Drosophila melanogaster: one gene and its partner. The protein of the gene in region 2 interacts with the protein of the main gene of each other region in a pairwise test. Each region holds a gene or a part of one and is shown on either strand. Other genes may lie near its edges. The genes, in order: Evi5 and Rab14.

What was found.
Region 1: the proteins of Rab14 (region 2) and Evi5 interact in a two-hybrid assay, tested with the Drosophila melanogaster proteins (one study listed by BioGRID).

What each region holds. Positions count from the first base shown.
Region 1 is NC_004354.4:11,446,047-11,459,296, forward strand, and holds the start of Evi5 (ecotropic viral integration site 5), read right to left. Parts: upstream 8,293-13,250; 5' UTR 7,750-8,292; intron 1-7,749. Other genes in the region: HP5 (heterochromatin protein 5), read left to right, coding at 9,031-9,145, 9,236-10,441, 10,609-11,718, 12,184-12,266. UniProt on the Drosophila melanogaster protein: Functions as a GTPase-activating protein (GAP). During border cell migration in the ovary, acts as a GAP for Rab11 and is necessary for the maintenance of active receptor tyrosine kinases at the leading edge.
Region 2 is NT_033779.5:14,346,734-14,359,300, forward strand, and holds Rab14 (Rab14), read left to right. Parts: upstream 1-10,307; 5' UTR 10,308-10,474; coding exon 10,475-10,538; intron 10,539-10,547; exon of another isoform or gene 10,548-10,607; coding exon 10,608-10,721; intron 10,722-10,786; coding exon 10,787-10,967; intron 10,968-11,021; coding exon 11,022-11,204; intron 11,205-11,272; coding exon 11,273-11,450; 3' UTR 11,451-12,031; downstream 12,032-12,567. Other genes in the region: mTTF (mitochondrial transcription termination factor), read right to left, coding at 622-864, 920-1,500, 1,565-1,973; l(2)34Fc (lethal (2) 34Fc), read right to left, coding at 2,499-2,906, 2,976-3,047; CG43052 (uncharacterized protein), read left to right, coding at 5,423-5,612, 5,665-5,870; l(2)34Fd (lethal (2) 34Fd), read right to left, coding at 5,928-6,903, 6,964-7,685, 7,739-8,140, 8,199-8,264.

The DNA of each region.
Region 1 (13,250 bases), on a different chromosome or scaffold from region 2:
ATTTTGCAGGTGTTTTGTTGCCTTGGAAACGATTGATTGATTCTATTGCATATTTAGTTTTGCAAATTCACAAATACAAAAAAAAAAACGCGGGAATTCGCCGCTCATCCGGTTGCATGACGATCTTTATCGATATTGGACCCCAAAGTTTGGGCCTGCGAAAGCACCAACACGAAGGCAAATGGAAACGCACCTGGTCGAAGTTCAAGTGGGGACTTCATACAAACACCGATTGGCCAGATTAACCCTGACTGAATGGGAAAAAAAGCAAGGGATTATGGTTACCCAACCAACCGAATGGAAAATTAACACCTAGTAACCGTGTGTAACACTAAAGGTCAAGTTGGTTAAGTTGTGTCGATGATATAACGCTAATCATAGCGTTATTCATAGATATGCAGTTACCTAATTAATCAAGCTATACAATAAAACACCATCATTAAATATTAACCATTTGATATAGAAATTCTATGAAAAATATGCTCATGAGAAGACAAAACTTTCTTTTTGTCAATTGGAAAACACAAAGTGTGATAGAAGTGACCCATTTTTCCCAATACAGTGTAATTAAACAGCCTTTCCTTTTCTCTTCTATCGCATACATCAGGTGGGATTATCTTTGACAGGCACTCAAACAAGTTGGGCAAATAAACCCCCTTTGATATAAATGACATTCGAAAATGGTAATAAACTGGAAGATAGACCAAAGACCAAACGAACTCGAACTGGTGTCACACATTCAGAGCGGTTTCTTCATTGATATTTGGCTCAAAAGCGCTTATGTAGACAAGTCTACTGCGGATACACTGATAACAAGTTTAGCTCTTATCATTCACATACACATACAAGCGTTAAACGGTTTGAAATACTAAAACAAACTTGAGGTATACTTTTAGGCCATGCTAGTTACTGTTTTTGATTTGTTATTTGTTATTAAATGTGGGACACAGTCAAAGGCTTTGACGTCACAGAGACACGAGCAATTTAACCCGATTTCCGATCAATGAAAATCAATAGGTATGTGTGTTGATTTACGCTCATTCAAACTAGTCATACTTTTAGGCGGTACAATTTTTGTGACAGTGCGACATGGCCATAATGAAACCTACAAGTTTACCTACATATACTTACACAGAAATGTAATGGAACCGTAAATTACGAATAGTACCCTTCGATATATGATTCTATCTGCTGTATATTCAAGCGGTGTGCTTTGCGGGAGACCACTGTACCACTAGCATGTATATTTTTGTGCTGAATTGGCAATCCAGTGACATTATTTCACTGCCACTATCAATCCAACGCAAAGATAATTGCGACAGCAACAACAAAACGAGCGAAAATAATGCCGAGCAGACAAGTGTACATACATACATATGTACATCCACATGTATAGGCGGAATGAATAACGATAACTAATTGTAGTCACAGTCTGTTAACAGATGTTTACATTACGCTGGCGGCAATACAAAAAGTAGCCTCTGGACATCAATTAATGGATCTTAAATTAGACAGAAGAAGCAAACCATAAGTTTCAGCTTTTCAGCTTAAACGTCAGAGGACACAACATATAGTTTGTGCATATATACATATACATACATATATTTCTAGCATGGTCTGTGAGTTGGGCCCCTTAATTATTAACGCCCACTGTGGGTTCTAAGACCTCTCAAGTTTCTACAGCCTTAAGCTTGAGTGCAGGCAAAATGTATATATGTATATATACGTATAAATACATATTAATATACCAGCACATAGAGTTAAGAGTGAAGAGTGAAGTAGCATGTGTGTGCTGGCAGATATTTCTGCACTATTTCCAGTCTAATTCATTCATAAAAAGTTCTTCACATTTCGCTTTTTTTTTTACTTCAGCTTCTTGGCTTGAAGTCGCTGGCTTCGTTGGCTTTTATGAGAATCGTTAGTTCCGAGCCGACTCATGGTTTTGGCATTATAAATATATGCATTATACATACATACATATATGCACGACCGTTAGAATCGTCGGCAGCCCGCAGATGGAAAAGGCAAACAAAGAGTATAAAAAACACCATCACAATTTCTGATTCGATTCGATTCGCGGGGTATTTCAAACCAATCGCTCGCTTTGTCGCAGGTAAGTTTTTTTTTTTTCTTCAGCCAGATTATTTGTGACTCATGGCATTTGGGATGTAAATTAGGTATTTCCAAAACTTGTTTTGCTTTACCCTTTCACTATCGATTTGTAAAATATCTGTTTTTAAATTGTGTTTCGTATTCCCTTGCTTTTACTTTTACCCATGGAAATTTCGTTTAGACTCAAAAAACATTTATTAGAAAGAATATTTAACTATCAATAAATCTTATATGAAATAATAATTCAGAAAAGAAATTTAGAAATTGTATCAGATTTGATTGTACATCCAATTTGGAAAGTTTGTTTTCCAAAGTAGAGCATTGAATATTCGCAAATTATAATAATAACTTTTGTGCCAGCCTCATGGCAGTGTTATTTTATTTTATCTCCGCGGTTTACTCAAATTATACATCTGTTGCGACCGCAGTCACATCTGCTCCACATCTTTTGCCGACAGCCTGTCGTGCGTATGACCCATTTGAATGGACTCCACTGTACCGGGGCGGCGATTAGTCAGAAACCTGATGGTGAATGCTTTAGCTAATTTTTTGTCCGTCTCTTTTTTTTTACTCTTGCCACTTTCGAACAAATCACAATTTGCTTATTTCGTGTTTTTATTTAACTTTGTTTTTGTTTTGTTTGGCTTTTTGTGTGTGATTTTGTTGCTGTTTTTTTGCCGGACATTAATGAATAATACATGGGTGACCGGGGCGATAGCATTTAGCGAAGTTCATTTGTTGTCTTGCTAATTTGCGCACGCACACACGCCGCATTTGCATTTGCATTTGCATCTGCAATATGCATTTGCATCTTTTAATGCAACGAGTCACGCCCCCAAGCCATAGAGTACCACTCGGCACACTCGCGGCAATGGCTATAAGGCACATATGTATATAAACAGCCAGTGCGCTGATAAGCCTATTAGCACATCATAGCTTGGTTGGCTTAGAAACTCATTCATTCCATATAGGTTTGAAATATGAAAGTGTAGATTTTTATTCAAGTTAGACGACTTTAAGCAAATTGAGTGCAACTAGTATCACAAAATTTCTCAAAGGATATGTTGGATGTAAGCCCATGGGATGGCAGCAAATCCTAATCATACGTCTGGCCCGTATAAGAATGTTTCCTAATATCACAGCAAGTTGTTGTGCTTCGCTTGCTGTCCCCAATGTAATTTAAGCCCAATCATCAAAAATTCAAGAGTGCCACGCCCACGCAATCACACGCCCAAACCACCGCCCACTTGTGTGTACATACATATAGATACAGATACGGATACGGGGATACAGATACAGATACAGATACACAACACCGATACATATAGAACCAAGCCCTGAGTTGGCCAACTCTCATTAACCCAATTTGAATTGTTGACTCGCTGGCTATCTCGCTCCCACCCACGCCAATCGAGCCCTTGGCAATGGTGTGACGTCAGTCACAGTAAACACTCGATAATGGAAGCTGCTTAAATTATTCACATACTTTTACCGTCAAATAGTTGAAACATGGGTTTGAAAAATTCTCTTACTTTGAAACAATGTTAGCTTAAAAGGCAAAGCTATGGTTTCACTTAAGGAGCGTTCACTGTCTCTGGGTGGCAATTACAAAATGCATTTACCTGTCTGCTTGCCACAATTAGTGGAAATGCCAATGTGGCAATGTATATACATAATACCCAAGTGTCGCCCCAACTCGAACTCAATTTTCCATCCATCGCCACGAATTCTAAACAAGTGAAAAACAAGTGCAACAGTGGAACTGATAGGGCGTAGTTACCCATTAAAAACCAGAAGCAGGAAGGGCGAAATAGAAGCCACAGGGGGGGTGTACGAGGCCCAGACGATAAGAATTCGACGATTTCTTCAATCAGTCAAAAGACGCACTCCGCTCGAGCACAATTCAAGATTTGAGAACAATGAAACTTTATCGCGCAAATGACATTTACAGCTGCAGTCAAAAAAATGGGTTAGTTTGATACTTTTATAATATATACTTATACTTATACCTTATATACTTTTATAATAACTGAATTAATGGTAAGTTTGCAAGTGAAATACATTTAAATATTGATAGTTTACAGTTAATTTATTAGTTGTTTTGTACTATTAGCAAATCGAACTATTTCAACAACTTTTGTAGTGCATTTGAGTGGATTGAAAGGGGCGGCACGATGAAATAAAGTCTAGCAAACGGAAAATATGAAAAAAGGGGAAAAGGCAGCGGACAAATGGAATTATGAAATACAATTCCCCTGAGTTTTTTTTGGCCAGCCCCAGCCAACTTCCAAACTCATTAACATAATTCATTCAGCACATGATGCTGTATGCTACTAGTTACACTTGAAAAAAAAAACAGCTGGGATAACGCAGAGTAATATGGCAAATCTAGAAAGTATTTTGTTATTGTAGCTGTTTTTTTTTCATTTCAGTACTTAATGAGATGATCACGAAAAGCAATGACCTTTTAACTTAATCATTTCAATTAGCAATCAATTTAAATGTCAAGTTCAATTCCAAAAGGGATTGTTACAACACGATTCGAAATAATACATCTCCATTTACAGTGTACTCGTACAATTGTTGTTTCAGTTGCCATTGGCTAAAATAAGTTCCCAGTAGTAGCATTCACAAGTGCTTCAATAAAAAGTGTTTTCAGCGCAATATTCGAGCCGTTTTGGATTTCAACAGCCACAAGAAACCGAATTCGAAACCGAGACTGAAATTGAAATTGAAATCGAAATGGAAATGGAAATGGAAACAGACGAAACTCCTTCAGTTTCCAGCAATAATAAATAGCAAAAACGATATGTGTCTGCAATTGCTGTTGAATGACTGAGTGAAAAAAATATAGGGAGCGGCAAACAAAAACAAAAAAATCAGGAAAGAAAACTGGCTGGCTGAAGAAAACAACAAACAAACCGACATTGTTGGCCAAACTGTAAAATCATTGCTTGAAATCTGGAATTTGGCCAAACTCACAGTGGCTATTGGCTAACAGAAGCAAAGGGAAGAATATCATTGTAAATACGAAAAGTACACAAATTATTACAATAAACAATATTTCTGGTTCAGCTGTTACAAAAAATAAAGTATCGTAATTATTTCGCAGTTATCGGGCATTCACTGTGCCCCGAAATACCAGCACGTCTGCATTGGAGATTGGCACACATATCGGTATCGCCACTACCGCTTCTGTTGTTACCTGCTTTTCTATGCTTTGGGGCAGGTAAATCAGGTAAGCCTCCAGTTGGCCAAGTGGCCATAATAGCTTGGCCACGACTGTGTGGATGCTGGATGCCCCAGCCCCATTGTTGTTATTTTCGATATTTCTTGGCGAAACATACATACATATCGGTTTTATGTTGTGGAAGCTATTGCCTCTGATTTTACATAACGGCACTTTTTGCCTCGCCAGAAAGGGACGGCTAACAAAAGGTAGCTGCGCAATCGCAAGAGACGGCATGAGGTTGTCAAACTTTTTTCGAAAACAAATTTCAGAGGAAGTAACGAAATGCCAATAAAGTAAAGCCACGCTACATAGATACTTTTCGTTGAGCCCCACAAAGAAAGGTGGCAGCTCGATCATGAACTTGACTCCAATAGTTAGTATTCGCTTAAACAAGTAATTACATATATATTTTATAATTTAAAATGCACTTAAAATGTTAACAAAATCGCATTTATTTCGGAGTCTTTTTTTGCACAGTGATCACTGTAATTTCACAGTTGGCTTACTTAATTTGCGTTTAGTTTGGTTGCGCGAAAACGTGTTGGCAAGCGCTTGGTATGATCCGTTAAAAAATATGTATACATACATAAATACAAAATAAACGCCGATAGGGAAACAGACTCAAGTGCAAATTATTTTTGACATATATTTTTTGCGGCTTTGCGGCGAAGGTCGAAAGCTCGCGCGATCGAAATGGGCAACATAATAAGCAGCAACAAACAACCGCCAAAATATCATAAAACAATGCAAATAATGAAACATGGCGAAAACACTTGAGCAGATAGTTGAAAAACCCGCTAAACGCAAAAAGAATTCCGTTTGAAATAACCCAAAAAAAGTATCTTGACTTTTGTTATTTATCTTTTTTTTATATATGTATATGTTTTTTTTTTGTTGGCCAGAGAAGGCAGAATGAAGGCTATCCTGCCCCAACCTTCTCCAGATAATGACGGATGATACACCAACACACCCACGAGCTCTGCAAATTTATGATCATAATTAACATGACGATGACTTTCTGCTCTATGTGCTCCACTAGTTTTAATGCTCGTGATTTAAATAAATAGCACAACTGAAATTTGAATAAGCACGCAACAATCCCCACGCACAAAAAAAAAAAAACAAAAACAAAAGACTTGAGTGCGATGGGTCGGGTACAGCAGAGGTCAAAGGACTATGGCTGCATTTCCAAAGCAAAGTAAAGTATAAAGTAACTGAGCACTTGTCTGCCTTTGGGCATCTTTAAGATCTCGATATAATTTAGCAGAAAGCCCTCAGTTGCACGTATATGTAATCTACATACGGATACAAAGCTTATCACGACCGGCAGATAAACAAGAGTTCAGCAATCTTTTAGCTAGTTTCGACGAAATTCGCTGCAGCCAGTTTGTTTTTAATGCAATGAAAGCGTTAAATTAACTGTATTCATATTAAACAAACAACAATGAAGCTTAATAAGCTAGCAATTTACTATTTTTAATGCTAGTTTTTTCACCCCCACTGTTCGTTGCGTCTACGTAGGCCATGTGCAAGGTGGCAACGCTGCTTGCAAGGTGTCGCCGAGTTGGCAATGCGCAGGCGCAGAGCGGGCTAGAGCGAGATGGAGAGATGCACAGTGAAAATTGGAGAACAAGATTAGATGTTATTTTTAAATATTACTAAGCCATTGGTCGTAATTAATGGTTTACAGAAGAGTGGACGTAGAGTCATTATTCTTCGATTTCCATTTCCATTTTATAACTGGCAAATAGTTTTTCCCTCCCTCGATTGCTGAATTTTCCCACTGTGCGTTGGGCCCACGAAAAGTGGGTGGAAAGCAAAGGAAAGGAGAGCAAGACAAGGTTACAACAGAGCAGGAACAACAACAACAACTAGTGGCAGGAGCAGCTGATGCGGTGGGAGTGGAAGAGCAAAGCGAATTGGGAAAGAGGAATTGGGAAAGGGAAGCGGGCAATGGGAAATGAGCAATGGGAATGGCAATAGGAATGGAAATGGAAAAGGAAGTAAGAGCAGGGCTGCCCTGTTGTCATTGTTGTTGTTGTTGCTCAGCGAAGCTGCAAAGAACGATGATGAACGATGATGAATGATGATGGACAATGAGCGATGAACAATGGACAATGGACGCTTTTAATTACATTAATGCGCGAAATTTAAGCATACAAAATTAGTTGTACCCGATTTTCTTTTGCTGCTTCGCTAATTTGTAAAAAAAAAAAGGTAGCAACAGACACACACACGCGAGCATAAACCCACACAGACAGCGAAAGAAAGTTTCTGTATTTTTTCCCACTCCACTTTTTTCGTTGATAATGTTTACACACACACATTGAGTTTTTTTACGGAAGAAGTAAAGATGATGAAGAAGAACGACACATAAAATATAAATAAAGATGCTGGAACCTCACCTTTGCTGCTGCTTCTTCGGCCACTGTAAATGAACCGTTAGGCTGGAACAGGGGGTGGTGGTGGTTGCGTTAGTGCGCTGCTGCTGTTGTTGTTGCTGTTGCGGCAGCAACAAATTGCCGTTGTTTATCGTTTTTTTTTTATCCGCGTTTCGTTTTCAATCAGCTAGACTTTTCCACATTCGACGAACTCAATATGTCGCGATCAACTCGTATCCGATCGAGAATCGTTTGCATTAACTTTATAATACACGATTATTTTGACGACACTACCGAACTTTTTGCTGCTGTAAACGTCACACAAACACACACACACACACACGCACAGGCAATTGCACACACCTCAGCAGCAGCAATTTTTTCTCTCGCCCTCTCTCCCTATGCTGTTCTGTATGACTTTATTTTTATTTAAATACTAGTACTTTTTTTAAAAGGACTACTTTAATTCAATCACTCGTTATACATCGACCGAATATTGCACTGGAAAAAAATACAGCGTTCGTTCGACGACGGTGAATTCACGAATGTTTTTTTTCGCCCACTGGCGGTGTGACCGTCGCGCAAAAGCTGAAGTAAGCCGCTAAATAAGTATTACCATATACTAAAATTCTCTGAAGCGCAGATAGCTGATAACCGATAGAAAAGTTTCTACTGCATTATCGATTATTTGAATAATACCAAAAATACCAATGATAGCTGTTTAGCACAGACTCAAACCTGTACAGTGGGCTGCAAGTGCTGTTATTACATGTTTGTAAATGATTTTGAAACATTCAACCATATGAGATAAGTATGAATCTTAATGGAGTTATGTTGCTCAGAGTAATAAGTTGTTGTTCAGCATTCCATTGATGAAAAGTGTCCATAAGATCTTTGTCGTTTAATGATAGGAAATAGGCTATTTGTTGATAAATTTAAAATACATTTTGTGGTTAATGATTGTTGGCGACATAAATAACCCATAAAAATGCGCCGAGGCGGTGAAATATTTTCGCGGTATCTGCGCACGGGCACACCAGCTAGATGGCGTCTTTAGGAGTGTGTAAAATTAATCAGGAAAGTTACCTGAATGCAAACGCGATTTTAAAAGTCGCATCTGCTGATTAAGTGGGCAAATCGAGTGCTCCTCGCGCCACAATTAGTCCGTGGTACAGTGGCCTCACTAATTGCGCAAAACACACATCTGTAAGCGCATATTAACCGTATATTTTAAAGCGGTAAATCTGCGCTCTTTGCTAATTTTCATTTTCGTGGGAAAATCGCAAAGGGCTGAAACCTGCGATAATGGATATTTTTGATATGGTCAAAGCGGCGCCGCCGCCGCAAACTATTAATCCGGTGGACACCAAGCTCTCCACTCCGTCGCCCATACCGCCCGATTCGCCAATCGACGTAAATGGTAAATTGAGCATAATTTTGTTTGCCTGCAAATTGGCTGGCAATCCTAGAAGTTTAATAACCTCCAATCGTTTTTTCCATTTTCTGTCAGACCTCCTGGAGAGTGGAAACCAATTGGACGAGAATGACTTGCGCATGTCGAGAAAATCAAAGAATGTCGAACAGTGCAGCATTGATCTGTTTGATTCGGAAACATCATTCGACCATCTCGACGAGTCATTGGCCAAGAGGAAGCGTAAGAGCGTGGCTAACTCAAAACCAAACAAAAGCAGGAAATCCACTGTCTCTGCATCGACGCCGCACAACAAGAGGCCAAAAGTGTCCATTGACGACGACGGCGAGGCCATCGAGGAGGACCAGCAATCGATGGTGGTCGTTCCCACCAAGACGAAGGCTCAGCAAAAGATGTTCAGCGATCAGCAGTCGCCGAATGTTAAAAGAAAGGTGCGGGTGCTATTACGTCGCCTGAAACAGACAGAAATCGATTCGGCCGTCGAATCTTTGGCCAATTCATCATTTATCAATGTGCCCGAGATCGTTAACCAGAGCGGTACTAGTGGCCGTAGCAGGCACAAAAAGAGAAAAACGTCACCTAAGAAACAAAAGTCATCAACAGCGCAGACCAATTTCCACATCAAAGTTCCTTTGCAGAATGGCGCCAAAAAGCGTGCTCTGAACCACTCGTTGCGCGCTCATACACCGCCGCCCAGTTTGGCCAAGAGTTCTGAAAGCACACACTCCGCACTGAAGCGAAGTCCCAAGCCCAAGATCAAGGCGAAGAGATTATCCAGTCGCGGACGCAACACCGATCCGGATTTGGTTAAGCGTTATGGCGCGCATTTCTTTGGCTGTGTGGTGAAGGTGAGGAGGACGCGTTTACCAAGTGCCAAGTGGCCTGACTGCAAACCGCCTCCCATTGGCGACGGAGTTGTCAGGAAGGTGTATCCCAAGAAGGCGGTATCCTTCAGCGAGGCCGTCGAGATTCTGGGCAGCCCCGGGGGTCCATCACGTCGGTCTACTTTCGGTTCGCTTTCATCGAGAGGAGCTCCGAAACCGACACGACTGCAGCGTGTGGATGCCACTGGCAATGTGCTGGAGGACATAGCACTGACCTCCACGCCGCTCTTCTCGTCATCTTCTGGAGGCTCGCGCGAGCGGGTTAGGCGCCGCTCATGCAACGGTACGCCTGTGGTCGGAAGGCTCAAGTTACGCAGGTTGGGCCGCCTAAGCATAGACAACAGCTCCTCCAGGTCTGATGGAGGTGGAGATAATGATGATGACGATGAGGAGTATATAGGTAGGAGGATGCACTTATTAAACTGACATCAAACTCGATGTAATCGCATTAATCATGTCTCATTTTGTATTAAATGATTTCGTTATTTTTATGACAGGATTTGACCAAATCAAATTAAAGAAGAATTGAGCTAAAACTAATGCAATTCTCTCCATTTTTACGTCCAGTGCCCAACGATGTGCCGGGGTCCCAGAGATCTGGAACGCCTCCGCCCAAGAAAAAGAAGATATCCTTCACCACGACCATCAGTGATGATGAGGACGAAAAGCCGGTACTAAAAAAGCAGAAGGATGCACAAAAAAAGCAGCCAAAACCCCTAAAAGAAAGATCAAACAAAAAGACGGACAAGATGCTAAACGAAAAGGAGACGACTGACAAAATGCAAACGAAAAAGGAGAAAAAAACGGAAAACTCACCAGTTGTGGAAATTGAATCCTCCGATCCTGATGTCGAAATCAAACCACCAGTGAAGGAAATCGAAACGAATGAGCGAGAGGGAGACGCACACGAAACTGAGACAAATGAAGTAGAAAGAGATAGAGAAGAACAATTTGTGGATGCAACAGAGAAAAATACAGATGAGGCGAAGGAAAAAAAAGTAGTAAAAGATATGCCAGAGTTAAAAGAGGCTGACAATTCGGAGGAAAAATCGGAAGATGCTCGAGAAGAAGTTTTGCTAGACGAGGACGAGAAAAATCTGGAGGAAAATGCAGCTGAAATCAGCGATAACGCCGTCAAATCTTTAGAAAAACCAACGAACGAAGACAGGGTTGAGAAAGTAGAGGACGAGGTCGAGCATGCCGAGGAGTTCAGTGACTTGCCGACCCCACCACAGCTCCCGTCCACAACTGACGATAACGAAGATGACGTGCTGGAGATCCAGACGTCGTTGGACGATGTCCGTCAATTGCATACGCCATCATCCCGCCAGAGTACGCCCAAATCGCGCAGTCGCCTCGATTCCGGTGACTCCGATTGCAGCTTTAAGTCCGCCAGCGATAACGCCAAGCTGCTAGCTGGACAAGCCATTGAGGAAACAGAGCAGAAAGCAAGCAAAGCGCCGAACGATGACGAGGATCAACAAACAGCAGCAACCATCATCGGTGATCCCATCGATTCACCCGAACTGCCGGCCGAGCTTATGACCCCGCCCTCGGCGCCCAGGACAGTGAATGGTGAACCCACCAGCGAATCCAGATCAACGGCAACGACATACTACTCGCCCATGGAGGATCCCATGGCCACGCTAGATGACGTCATCATGGACCAGCTATCCGGTGAGTGCCAGACGATCGCCTCCATCGCAAGGCAATCTCAAATAATAGCATGAATACTTAGGGAGTACAAGTGGGGACTGTTAAGTCTTCAAGACAGTAAAGTACGTCATTTTCTACTTTAATTCTTGCCAAGTAGTCTCGCTTTTCACGAAACTTCTCTATTTTGTGAGGCCAAAAACTCTTACGTTAAAGCTCTAGTGACACTTGGTCATTGGTCAAGCATTCCATTGATTGATTTAATGAACATTCGCCCGTTGCGTACATTTGTCATTAAAACAACTACTTAATAGGCATTTTTTGTACTTTCTCTGGTCTTCTCTAAGTCTGGGTATCTTAATTAAGTGTAAGTGTATAGGCAATGCACAATTTCCAGTTGCAATTTGAACTTGCTTATATTTCATACTTTCGTAAATGTTAATTTGAATGCACCTTCTAATAACTATTTGCTCTGCTTATGCCTTTTAGAACCCAACTTTCAGTTGAACTCCAGCCGCCATGCCATCTCGAGGGGTACACTGGACGAAATAATGACCGCGTTAGAATCGTAGTAAGCTGGCAAATTGCGCACCAAGTACAGATAGACAGATACAGATCGAAACCGAAGCATACACACAGACACAGACATAGCTACAAACTCACACGCACACACGTAGGTTTATTAAGGACCGATTAATTTGTACATTTAACTGAATTTATAATTAGTTCTCCCTACGATCAAGAAGTAGTCTTACGTTTATTTTTAAAGACATATTCAATTTATATGCAAACTCACGTTGAAAATACCAAAGTATTTTTGCAAGAGAAAGCTATTGGTGCAAACGTTAATATTTTGCACTTATATGATTGCTAAATTAGTCAGCAAAACAGGGACAAAATTTAACACAGCTCACTCACTCAACTTGCAAATGTGTGCGATAGACCGTAAAAATTAATATTTTAATATTATTAACGGTTAAGCGGAATCAGAAAATCAATTTTCAATGTTTAAGCTACTTAAACAGAGCGTTACGTTAGTTTGACTTTCAAGAATACGTATTGTTCGTTTCTCATCCTTTTTTTTTTTGACAACTTAGATTTAAGAAACACTTGCGTTCATGCACATATATAAATATAAATATATATATTTAAGTATGGATCGTCTTAAATGTACTGTAAGTTCAATGTATTAATGTACATCATCATCATAAAATGTATGTATGTAAAAAGAAAACAGATTAAAAATGGATAAAATATGTTGCCAGTTTTCAATGGGATTGGCTGAGAAACTTTTTCGAAATTTGCCGCCATTTGAAGATGTTGCCACATTCGAACATTGACGTTGCCATATTGTGAAAAGTCTTGTACCGTTTATTTTAAGCTATGTAAAAATGATGTTATTTTTATTACCTAACATGTTTTTTTTTTCACAGAATATTCTACAGTTAATTTATACAGATTGAATAAATTTAATGTGCTAGAAAGAGATTTTTTTGTGACTAATTTGAATAGATAAATGGAAAGATGTTATCTTGCTTTATGAACAACACACACTT
Region 2 (12,567 bases):
GCAATATTCTATTTGAACCTCAGTAATAGTTTATGTATCTAGATATAGAATATTCTCTATTCTTGTAAAGCAATCAAAATATTGAAAAATACTTCATTCGCTAAATATAAACATCATAAATAATTTAGCTGCCTTTTGCTTTCAAGAAATTTTTATCGCTAACGGTGAAAATGTGGAGGGGCAATAACATTTCTGGAATTTTCTAATTAACTAAGTTTGCAATTTGGTTTGTTCTGCGTTTATAAATGTTGAAAGAAAATTTCCAACTGATTAAGCCATCCGAAGTGGTAGAATGACTGCAGAGAGTCGTCCAAACTAAACAAACTAAACTTTCTGTCCGCAGGACGAGTAATCCGACTGGTGGTTAAAAAACCTATTGAAATCGAAAAGGTTCCCTGATTGGTTTCCTTACAATATTATGGAAACCTTACTTGTTAAGGGTCCTTTAAAAATGAAGATACCATCATAACAGCGGTCCCCTGGTCGTAATTAATAACGTTTTTTGAATATTGGCTTTTAATCGTGTTCAATTTCGTGGCAAAACTTTTGAAAAAAGTATCTTAACTTTACAACAACTTTTTAAGCTTTCACGGTGATGGCATCAGGTCATTCGTCAGTTCATCATCCTTCTGATACACTTTGCGGATTTCTTTCATGGCTTATCCAGTTCTGCAAAAACTTATCGTACTCCCTCCGGCTGCGGCAAAGAATTACAAGAGAGGAGGGTCGACAACCGTGCGATTTCAGTTCTTCCATGCGCTCCTTTGTGGTTTTCAGGCTGTGGCATAGAATTCGAGGATTTTGAGCGACCTCAAATCTGGTAAACTGGGCCTCATCGAGTAGGTAGTCTAGCACCTCTTTGATCTGAAGGCAAAATTGTATAGCTTATGATTGTTTGAGTTAACCCATTGTGACTTACCTTGGTAACTCGCACGGTGTGCACCTGCGGATGTTTGTCCATGATTGCCTTGGCTTCACTGGTGCTGAAACCAAGACGATGCGCTAAGTATTCCACCACGGAGGAGAACTCTCCCAAAACCTTCAGTTCGTCGAGAGAAAGCTTCAGGGAGCGCTGCAGTATTGGCTCCGGGCAGCGCACCATCCACGGCATGATCTTGTCCTTTTTCGCCCGCTTGGCGCGCTCCAAACGCAACTGAACAGACTTTGGAGTATAGCGAAAGGCCCATAGATCCTTGAGTACGTTTATTGGCGACACATTGTAGTCGATCATGTGCTGCAGGTTCTTTTCGAACATCTCGAACGGCATTTCCAGGATAAACAGCCTCTTCGATAGATATTTGCTCACAATATCGGGGCTGACATCCAGCTTTTCGCTGATATAGTAGACACGATTTCGCTGTGGCATTGCATCCCTCTCAGAGTTCAGAGCACCCACCAGTTTTCGAAGACGTGGAACAGTGAGGCGCAGGAAAGGCACAAAATGATTGATGTCCTTAAAGTCCATTGACTTGAGTAGCTGCATCTTTAGCTCCAAGCGTTCTGAATAGATAAACAAATAACCGATGATTTAATCACATAAAGGATATAAAGCAAATGAGCTTACTATTGTCCAGCGACAGTAGCCAAGGATACTCCACGAAGCTGCGCCTGCTAACGCCCTCTAGCTGCAGTGTGTCCATGACCAGAGTCAGTGATCTACCGCGGTAGCAGCGGTGCACCAGCTCGTCGCTGATTATCTTTTGGAGCTCAGCGTCCGTGAAGCGAAAACGTTCCCGCAGAGCTTCGAGGAGCACCCGCGTCTTGGTTCCAGTCTCCCGATCCTGGCGATAAGGCACATAATCGTTTTCCGCCTCGTTGCTACCTAAAGTGCCACTGGAGGTCAGTCTGCTCGGACTGGCGCGGTTTTCGTACTGCGAGAAGAGTAGGCGCCTGCTGCAGTGCATTGGGTGCATATTTAAGCCGGCATGCAGCTTGAGTGCCGTCTCAAAGCTGCGCAGAAGGCTTCTAATCATCCCGAATTTGCTTAATTTACAGAATCAAGACAGAAAATAAAGTTCTTCAACTTATAAAACAAGCGGAAAACAGCTGATATGTTGCGGCGATAAACAGCTGACCAAGTGGGCCAACTGAAAGCTGGAGTATACGACACTCAAACAATTATCGTTATCGGTTTTGAAAATAATGACCGTTATTCGGAACAGCAATTTAATAAATTTAGCATTTGTTTTCTAGGAAAATATAATAACTTTTCTAGGTGCAATTGATTTCATAATATGTTTAGGAAGTGTGCTGGTTCATACACAATAACATACACATACACTTTTTAAATATAAGTGTGAAACACTTCCAATATTTATTTTCAAATCTACTAAGCATTCTTAGACAGAGAGTCCCACAATTGAAATCACTCCCATTTTATCAACGAACTTTTTGATTTTATTTTCAAAAATACTACGCTCCAAAGCTAATCGGAACATTAACGCTAAACAAAGACTTGTAGGATTTTGAACAAATCATGAAAACATCTATCACAAGCACTACTCCACATCGATGTCTTTTGTGACGCGACCCACCCAGTAAACGAATCCGGTCTGCACCACGGTGGCCATGAACTTGACGTTGCCCTTGTAGCCTGCTGGCGGAATCCAGTCGAAGGTGATGCCGGTCAGCGGCTTGCCCTTTTGCGCACTCAGATGGGTGATGGTGTCGTCCTTGCCGGAGCAGTCCAAGGTCTGCGAGTGCACGGAGTCCACCACCTGGAACTGGCCGACGACGCGGTTCTGGCCATCGCGTGCCTGGATCATGAAGCCAAGGAACTCATCGCCGCCCAGCGTCAGGGTCAGCTTTTGATCCGAGCGCACATGGGAGGGTCCGGAGATGCTGTACGGCGGCTTGGTCACCTGCAGCTTGGCTCCGTGCTGGGGCGTCAGGTCACGACAGGCGGCCTTTGGGATAATGAAGATGGGAATATAAGGAATCTATCCGTCATGTATTTCGATGGGGCAGGTTCATACCTTTGGAGCACCATCGGAGTAGGCGTGGACACTGATGGCCAGGCAGGCCGCAAGAACCAACAAACGGAACATATCTGTTTAAGGGAAAATTAAAAATAATATCACATGAGTTGGAAACATCGCTTTAGTAACGATTAAAATCCAGTTGGTTGGCTTAATTATGCTACATCACTGTGAAGAACAGTCCACGTAGTGACGAAGCGCACCAAGTGAGTGTGCGAAATCCTTCCATTTTCCATAACCGAATATGCTTAAGCAGAACAAGTTTTAATGACACAAGTACTTGTCAATGTTTCTACTTTCAACTTCTAGTGCTTTCAAGTTGAATCCAATTACATATTAAAATATATTTACTGCCGGTCATTGTTTAACATTTTTAGATTCGTGCATGCTGCTTAATTGCGTTAACTAGTTTTTCATAAATTAATTAATTAACATTTCCACTCAAGTGAGACTTTTTTCACTGGCCTTGGCCAGTTTGACTTTGCTTAAGTTTTTTATTTATTTAGTTTTTTTTTTTTCCTTTTCAAAGTTTACACTTGTATACGTGGGCAGGCGCAAATATATTGAAAACTAGCTCCAATTATGCAGTTTGTCAACGCCAACGTTTATTATGCAGTTTGTTCGGTCCCAGTTGTCGCCATAATGGGTATATTTCTCTGCAGCCTTGACTGTTGACAGTCTGTGATTCTACAAGATTTGTGGATTAGGCTGCAGTGTTACTGTCTGATTTGTAATAACCAGTATTAGTGCCGAAAAAAAATGTCAATCAAAACATTTTAATTATTTACGGGAAACCACTCGAAGTGAACTTAACATTTCAATCACGATCGGCTCGTAAATCTTCAGATTCGCAGAATTAAGAAGGCGCAGACAAAAGCTTTGTTCAATATTGAAATTGGCCAAGATGCATGTTGATTAAACCAATTTTTAAAAAATCATCAAACTGGTTTTTCGGACGTAAACGAAAACTGTTTAAAGCCAAACCAGTTTGCAGTACATTTCCATAGAAGAGTAACTCTTTTTTTTACCGTGCGATAAAAATCGCCTAGAAATGACAAGTGACAATTGAAGACAACAGCCTAAGTACTTCCTCAAATCGAATTCTCAGGTTCAAGGTGGATTGGAGGCTTGTGGAGTTCGAAGTACCGATCTGATTGATCGTCGGCCTCCTCCACTTGGGTCGCCATGGATTCGAAAAGACCTTGTCAAGACCGGCCCGTAAGCCAAGTTTCCATTTGTCTTGCAATATGCTAAAGTTCAATATTGGACATGTTAGTGTCGGAGCCAAGTTTTGCTTCTTTATTTCTTTCCCTCTGCGACTTTTAGCCGTATATTTATGTATTTATGGGCCTTTGTCCAACCGGTTGGGCGATTTGTTTAGATAAAATCTCAATACATGGTTGTTTAATGTCATTACGCTGAGCTATGGCCATAGGCCTCAATTAGCCAACATTTATAATGGCTTGGAAAATATTATTATTATCAAGTTGGTGGGACAGAACTGCTGAAGCTTGAAATTCGCATTCATACCGAAACTATCTATGTCATTTCCGAAAAGGTTTTTTTTTTAATGATCATATTAGAATATGTATTCTAAATTAAGCTTAGTCACTTTAAAACCCGAAAAAAAGGAAGAGTACAAATCCTTTAAGTTTTTAAACCTTTACAACTGTTTCACAAAAAATCAACTGAACTTTGAAAATCGTTTAGGCCAAGTAAACTAATTGCTTAATCATTTAAACCTACCGATCAGAAATACACACACACAAGCGGCAGAAAAGAAAAACTTGAAATGAGCTGAAAATTCTAAAACAACTTCCTATTTATACCAAAAAACTGATCAAAAGTAGTGAAGTAGCTTTTGCAAAGACAACTTTGTAAGCCGAGCTTATACTGCCATACCAGCAAGTTGGCCAAATTCGAAAGCTCCGAAAGCTGAGCTTGCAAATTGAATTTTTAACGCTTCATTTGTGAAGCGACATAAACAGTGACTAAGTGTTTACTTAGATCCACAAATCAAATGGCACGCCAATTAGCAATGCGTATTGATTAGAAGGAGAAACTTGCAAATCAGAATTCGCTGTTGAATGGAAAGCATTTGGCTTATAGGTCAACTATCTGAATTGGTTTAAAATCGTTTCCGGTCGTTTAGTCAATTAAATATAGTTCAGGTTCAATATTCTTTTTGGGTTTCTTCTTTAGATTTCAAAAACTATCCTAAATTTAAATTGTTTTCATATTTGCTGACTGCACTTTGAAATGCTCTTTACTTTTAATATTATAAAGCTACTACTTTTAAGTATCCCCTATAACATAACATACAACCACATCAAGTGTCGTTACACTTTTTTCCAAATGGGAACACTTTTAAAATTCACCAATCTGTGGTTGTCAAATCCAAATGTCATTGTAATTCGGGACACTTCAGTATTTGAGTCAAAAATATGGGAGCAGAGCAATCGGCATTGTTGGCCTGCACTCAGACGGGCATCCATGAGGATCGCCTGGAAATGGATAACTCAAAGTTGTTCTTTCAATTGTACTTTGATAGGATGCCCCAGCCTGTGACGGGTCCCGTGACAGAAGCGCTGCTCCACTTGGTGGATAAAGTGAATGTGGCTGGGGCTAATAATGGTAATATCCGATACCTTTATACCAATTGTCCTTAAAATGTGTACTCTTGAAGCTGATGAAACCCAATCGATCAAGGACGAATGTAATAGCGGGGAAAGCGACACCATATCGGTGCTCAGTAATGACAGTGAAGTCTCGACACCAAGTTTGGATGTGGAAATAGAGCCCATACAGATAGCCGAATTTGAGCCGATAGATCAATACAATATGCCTATTGAGGAAACCGATCAGACATATACGCTACCATTGTTAAAATAAATATGTAGATTAATTTAACATATGAATTTATGTACAGAACTAATTGCAATTGTTCGTCTACTTAAAATTAACTTTCTTTAGTCTCAGCGACTTAATGGGTCTGACAATGCTCCTTCGCTCCTCGCGATGCTTTTTCATCTCCGCCTCGCGCTTCTTGGCATGGAACTGTGACTTCTTCTGCTTGTTCACTTCGAATGTCATCTGACGATTGCCCAGGGAGCGACCCACATTGGTGACCTGGCCCTCCAGCTGGGACATGACCCTTACGCGATCCTGCAAGCTCGCTTTTTTGATGCGCTGCTGCAGTAGACTGCTGCCTTGATGTTGATCCAAGGGGGTCATGGTGAAACGGTTGCCATTGGTGGTGGGTTGTTGGCTGTGTCCATTCGTCTGCGGTCTTTTTGCGGTATCCGAAATTTCATCCGGCTGCTGCTCGTCATCTTCTAGCTCCTCCTCTTCCTCACGTTGTCGCTTCACCTGTTTGTACGCCTGCTTCATTTCCTTGACATACTCCCTTCGGTCATCATCGTCAGATGAGGCCTCATCTCCGCTGTCATCCTTCGTTTCGCCATCGCTCTTCTCGAAGCCAAATAGGTCCTCGTCATTATCGCTTTCCTCGCGCTGCTGTGCCTCGTCCGCGTGCAACTCCGCCACATGAGCCACCTCCACGCGCTTCTTGAGTTCCTTGGCCTTGGATTTATCCAGACGGTTCAGAACAGGAGCCAGCAGACGATACTCCTCGGCAGACTTGTTAACTTCAAAGTCGGCATTCTCAAACATGGCCTTGAAACGCGAGTCCTCCAGCAGGCTGGGCACATTTCGCTGCTTGGCACTGTTGGAAGGATTGGCTTGCTCGTCCATAATCTTGAGAGCCAACTCTTTGTTGACTTTGGGCAGCTTGGATTCGATTTGCAGGCGGGACTTGCGCTCACTTTCGATTTCTTGGCGGATCTTATCTTTGCGGAAGCGGTCGAAGGCGAAGGGTTCCACAACTGCCTTGGCTTTGTTGTACAATCTTGCGTCCATAAAGTATCTGTAGAATTTTTAGGTATTAGACAAGATCTTTACCTCTTCCAATCTTTTTCAAACTTACCCGTGCATATAACCCTTAAGAAGATTGCTGCCAACGAGATGCTCCATTCCCAATTCAGCCAGCTCCTTCGCTGTGACGAACTGATAGTCATCGTACACATTCTCCACGACCTCCGATTCGATCTCCTCGGTGAGGTTATCCAAGAACGAGCACCATCGGGGTGCTGGACCCATTGCAGGCACATAATAGGTCATCATCTTAACATCCTCCTGGGCTACGAAGAACATGCCCGTGTCGGGAATGGTGCAAAAATCGTTGAATGACGAAGTCGACTCAACGTAGGCGATCTGCTTGCCTGTCTGCTCGTCCCACAGCTTCAGTGTAGCCTCGTCCAAACTATAGACGGCATTCTGAGCCGGATTAAAGGCCAGACGCTTGATGGGCAGTCGATTCAGATGATTCTTCACCAGCAACGGTTGCTTGGCGCGAATGTCGTAGATCAGCACGTGTCCCGAAGCAGTTCCCACTCCCATGTGCAAGCCGTTCCGGAATTTGAGGGCCGTGACCGATGGAAACTCCTTGACGCCCGGCAACTTCATGGCTACATCCAAAGTTGAACATCGTTGCTTGGTACGTGGATCCCAGGCTTCTACGGTGCCTTCTTTGGTACCGGCTACCAGAAGATGGTGCTCTGGATTCACTTCACAGGCGTTCAGGCAGCTGCCATCCGTTTCAAAGGGTTGCAGGAACTGACCGCGCTCCAAATTGAGTCGGAAAATGTCCTGAAATCAAATCTTTAGAATAAACTAGACATTAGATAGACCTCAGTTCTTACCCTGCCCACTCCCACGATGAACATGTCGCAGCTGGGCTTGTGGTACTTCATGTCGCGTCCAAAGCGCGGTATCCTTAGTCTGTAGTGCCGCCCGTGGGCCGCATGGATCTCCACATAGCGATCGCATTGCAGGAACACCATCTTGCTGTAGTCGTCGCTAATCACCTCAAAGGTGGTCACCTCGGCGTCGAAGCAGCGCTCGAATTTGATAGACAGGTTGGACACCTCGAAGCACTTGACGCGCGGCTTGTAAGTGCCGGTGGCCAGGATGTACTGTTGGTCGGGACTCATGCGGATGCTGGTGCAGACGCCGGGCATATCGAAGTCCTGGATGAGCTCGATCTGTCTCCGGGAGTCCACTTTTTTCATGAGCTGTGACCGCTTTCGCCGATCCGTCAGCCACTGTGAAGGAGATACTCATGAGTTAACTGCTTGGCAACGGGTTTATCTTGCTACTCACATCTGGCACCGACTTGCCGGCGCTCAGGTTGTAGATCTTCACATCGTTAACTTCGTTTACGAACATCTTGAGGGACGATTTTTGCTCAAAATTAAAACATAAACAAACGAAGTCCGCAACACGTGCGCCCTCTATCGATAGACACGATTGTCGATAGCATCTGGCTGCGATAAGCACCTATCGCGGCAGTGTGACCCTTGGCTTGCCAATTGCTCAGTGTGACCGCAGGAAACCAAGCAAAACAAGAGAACGCAAAAGCAGTGAAAAAAGACTACTGATTTGCATCGACCTACCAATTGAAAATAATCGCAATAATTGCCTCTCGGTGCAGCCCCGCAACCCCGCGAAGCCAGTGTGCGTGCTAGCACGAAAGTGAACTGCATTTTGCATCGCCAAATTGCCCAAAAATTGCAATCGAATTCCGCACAGCCAAACAACAATACGCACACATACACACAGTACCCCCCGCTCTGCGTAACCGCCCTACGTTACACATTCCGTTCGCTCCCTAAGGTGGACTAAAACTAAAGTGATCTAAAACGGTGAGTAATATTCGTTGTTTTTCCTTAAGCCAATTAAACACTGATTAAATTATGCGAAATGGAAAACCGTCTGCGAAGGGGTGACGCAGTGCAGCTGTGGGTGCTCCGCAACTTTCCCTTGTGCTCTCGCTCTCTCTTGTTTTTGTCGTTAGGCAGCAGCACTCCATTGTTGTTGTATACACCCCCTGATTGCTTTGATACCCTGCAATGGGGAGTTACTGTTTTGTGACCAAGTTAAGAAAATAAATATGATTTACAAAAATCGATTAATTCTGGGGATGTTTCAGGTTTTTATGGTGTATAATTTATTTTTTGAATTTTTAGGGGATGGTGGGGCAAAAACGGCCGCCACTCTACTTAAAAATCGGTAGGTGAGGAGTTTGTTTAGTATACGCTATAAATAAATACTCTAAATTAGTTTTTATAAGATGGATTATTATATGAGTGTATGAGTTATCATAGAAATATTTACCTGTGCTTATATATTAATTTATTATATGAATTATGCAAACAAGGTTTTTTCAAAATGTAGGCGAGCATGAATAAAAAATTATAATAAATCAGAAGTTTTCTTAGTAGTTGTTATCAGTTATTAATATATTTCTTTTTCATTTTGTTGTGTCTTATTGCGTTGTTGTCTTCAATGCGGGCTTATTTTATTAGTTTGAATGGATGTGCGCTTATTTGTAGATACTCAAATATCAAATCGTATTCAGTTATATCTTAGAAATGGAATATAAAGCGCACATTTATAAAAGTATATTTATATTTAAGATTTTTTGCCAAAGGGTATACATACTTCGTCTGTGTATAAATATATATTTCTCATACTCCTTTCGTTATTTTCCCTGTTATGGGTGCGCCGCTGTGTTCCTTTTATGAGGGGCAATGATGATCCACTTCCATTCAACACATTTTGCAAATAAGTACATATGTACTTCGCCTCCATTGATTGCTCCACTGATGTTTGGCCTTTGGCGCTTGACTGATAAGACTCGAGACCGAGACCTACTACTTAGTTAGTCTAAACTGCCCGTCATAGAGCCTATTAAACTGATATGCACTTGTCACTTTGACAAGCAATGATAAGCGATTATAACTGTATTTGATGATTTAAGTATGAGCAATTAAGAATCCATAATTGATACTCATCTTTTCACACTATATGCTGCTAAGTCACATTCTTTTGTATGAAATTCATTCATATGAAGTAAGGCAGGATGATTACCCTAAATACAAACTAACTTGATGAATAACTTCGCGCGTACTGCTCTTAATAATTGAATTCCCACGATTGCTTGCTCGGCGACCTTGATCCAAATCGCTTTCAGCTTGGGCGAAGGGTTCAATTCACTCTCTTCAGCGCCCCTTAACTGCGGACAAATCAAAGGCTTTCGAACGACACGGATACTGCGAATGGACAAAGTCAAGTGGCATGAAGTGGATATACCCGCCGCTCTTGAAGCTTGCCTCTTTCTTATTTTTTTTTTTTTTTGGCTTCAGTTGGCAGGCAAACAAACCCGGTCGGCTGTTCAAACACAAGCAGGCCTTAAAAAGAAATATCGGGGCCAGTTCGAGAAAGGGGAACAAAATGTGGTGTCGACGCAGAACAAATTAATGCAGCGCCTCGGTTTGTTGATAAGCAGCGACTACGGTTGGACATTCAAATGAGGAGCTGATAGTAGTAGTTAACACTGTTTGATTGGGTCAGAGTTCATTTCTGCCGGTGTCAAGATGAGCAAAGTGCGCAGCGTGGTGAACAAACTGCACGAACGCATAGACTACTTTATTGAAAAATGTGTGAAATATTCTATATACTCAATGACTCTGCAATGTAATAATAATAATAATTTCGCTTGCTTTTTAGGTCCCAACATGACTGCAGCGCCATACAACTACAACTATATCTTTAAATACATCATCATTGGTGACATGGGCGTGGGCAAGTCCTGCCTGCTCCACCAGTTCACCGAGAAGAAATGTGAGTAGACTGTGCTGAGTAATAATGTATGTAATAAGAACTAATCTCTACTTGCCGTCCTGCAGTCATGGCCAATTGTCCTCACACCATTGGCGTGGAGTTCGGCACACGCATCATTGAGGTGGACGACAAAAAGATCAAGCTACAGATCTGGGACACAGCGGGTCAGGAGCGATTCAGGGCAGTGACACGCTCCTATTACCGTGGAGCAGCTGGTGCGCTGATGGTCTACGATATTACCAGGCGGTAAGCGAAGCAAGCTACTATTTGAGAAATTGCTTTACAACTTGACCATTCCAGCTCCACGTACAATCACCTGAGCAGCTGGCTTACCGACACTCGCAATCTCACCAATCCCAGCACTGTGATCTTTCTCATTGGCAACAAATCGGATCTGGAGAGCACTCGGGAGGTTACCTACGAGGAGGCCAAGGAGTTTGCCGACGAGAACGGCCTAATGTTTCTCGAAGCGAGCGCTATGACGTGAGTTTCAACTGGAAGCATAGTGTTTGAGCATATACTGATTATCTTTTTTTTTATCGCCCAAACAGTGGCCAGAATGTGGAGGAGGCTTTTCTGGAGACCGCACGCAAGATTTACCAGAACATCCAGGAGGGTCGGCTCGATCTGAACGCCTCCGAGTCCGGAGTTCAGCACAGGCCATCGCAGCCGTCGCGAACTTCGCTGAGTAGCGAGGCTACGGGCGCCAAGGATCAGTGCTCGTGCTAAATGAATGATGGAACCTAACTTTACGCAAAACCTAGTTATACAAATCAACTTTTATTTTTAGCCGACTCGTAATCTACCGATGCCCAAGCAAAAACCAATGTATGTAGTTAAATAATTCGATTAAGCATCAATGTGTGAGCCAACAACAGCGACAGCAACCACAAAAAAAAAAAAAAACAGAAAAAGAAAATATAAAGTCCTTTCGCTTAATAAGACGCAAGCATTGCAACATTTATTGTATCGGTTAAGCATAAATACTAGAAAATTAAACATGTTTGTTGGCGCAAACTAAAGTTTTGACCATGAAATTTCGAAAAGTTTATCGCACTAACACCATCCTTCGGTCTCAATTTATAGATGAATTCGTTTGAGATATAGATCATGTTTTTGTTGGCTGATGAATCCCTGTATATAATATATATATGTATGAATTTTTGTATCTCCCTAATTTTTTGTTGAGTATTTGTTGTTGTCGCGTGCAAGAATTGGAGGAAACGATCAATGTTATATGAATATTTACGATGTATTAATGGCATAATGCAATAGGAAATAAATAAAATGGTATTTATAAAACCCCTACCAATAGAAATGAATTTCTCTTTCAAATAATTTAAATTTTAATTTGCATATTTAACCATTCGTTTATATTTAATTCTACACCAAATCGCTGGATAATTTTATAATTTACCGGATTTCCATTTAATAGATTTAAATTTTATAAATATTTGGGTACTTACGATTTACTTAAATATTTTGTAAAAAGCTTTTTTAATCCATTTAGTGGAATACCCTCAACTTTGACTTGCGCATAACTTCATTCTTGTTTTATTTAGTGATGCTAACGTTGGGTTGGAAATCAGCTGATTATGACTATGAACAATAAAGTTTGTAAGTCAAACAACGATTTTTCGTATACTGTTCTTTTGTTTGTTGCTGGTTGTCTAATTAATCATTTTAACTGGTTATCAGTCCAATTTTTGTTTTCTACACTACACTATTCTACACTATTTTCGATTTCCTTGAAATTTAGCGGGAAAAACTCTGAGCTAGCATCTTCGGTGGCATCGCTGTGTGCGCGCTTTTGTGCGAATGCCATGGTATGCAAATTAAATTTAAT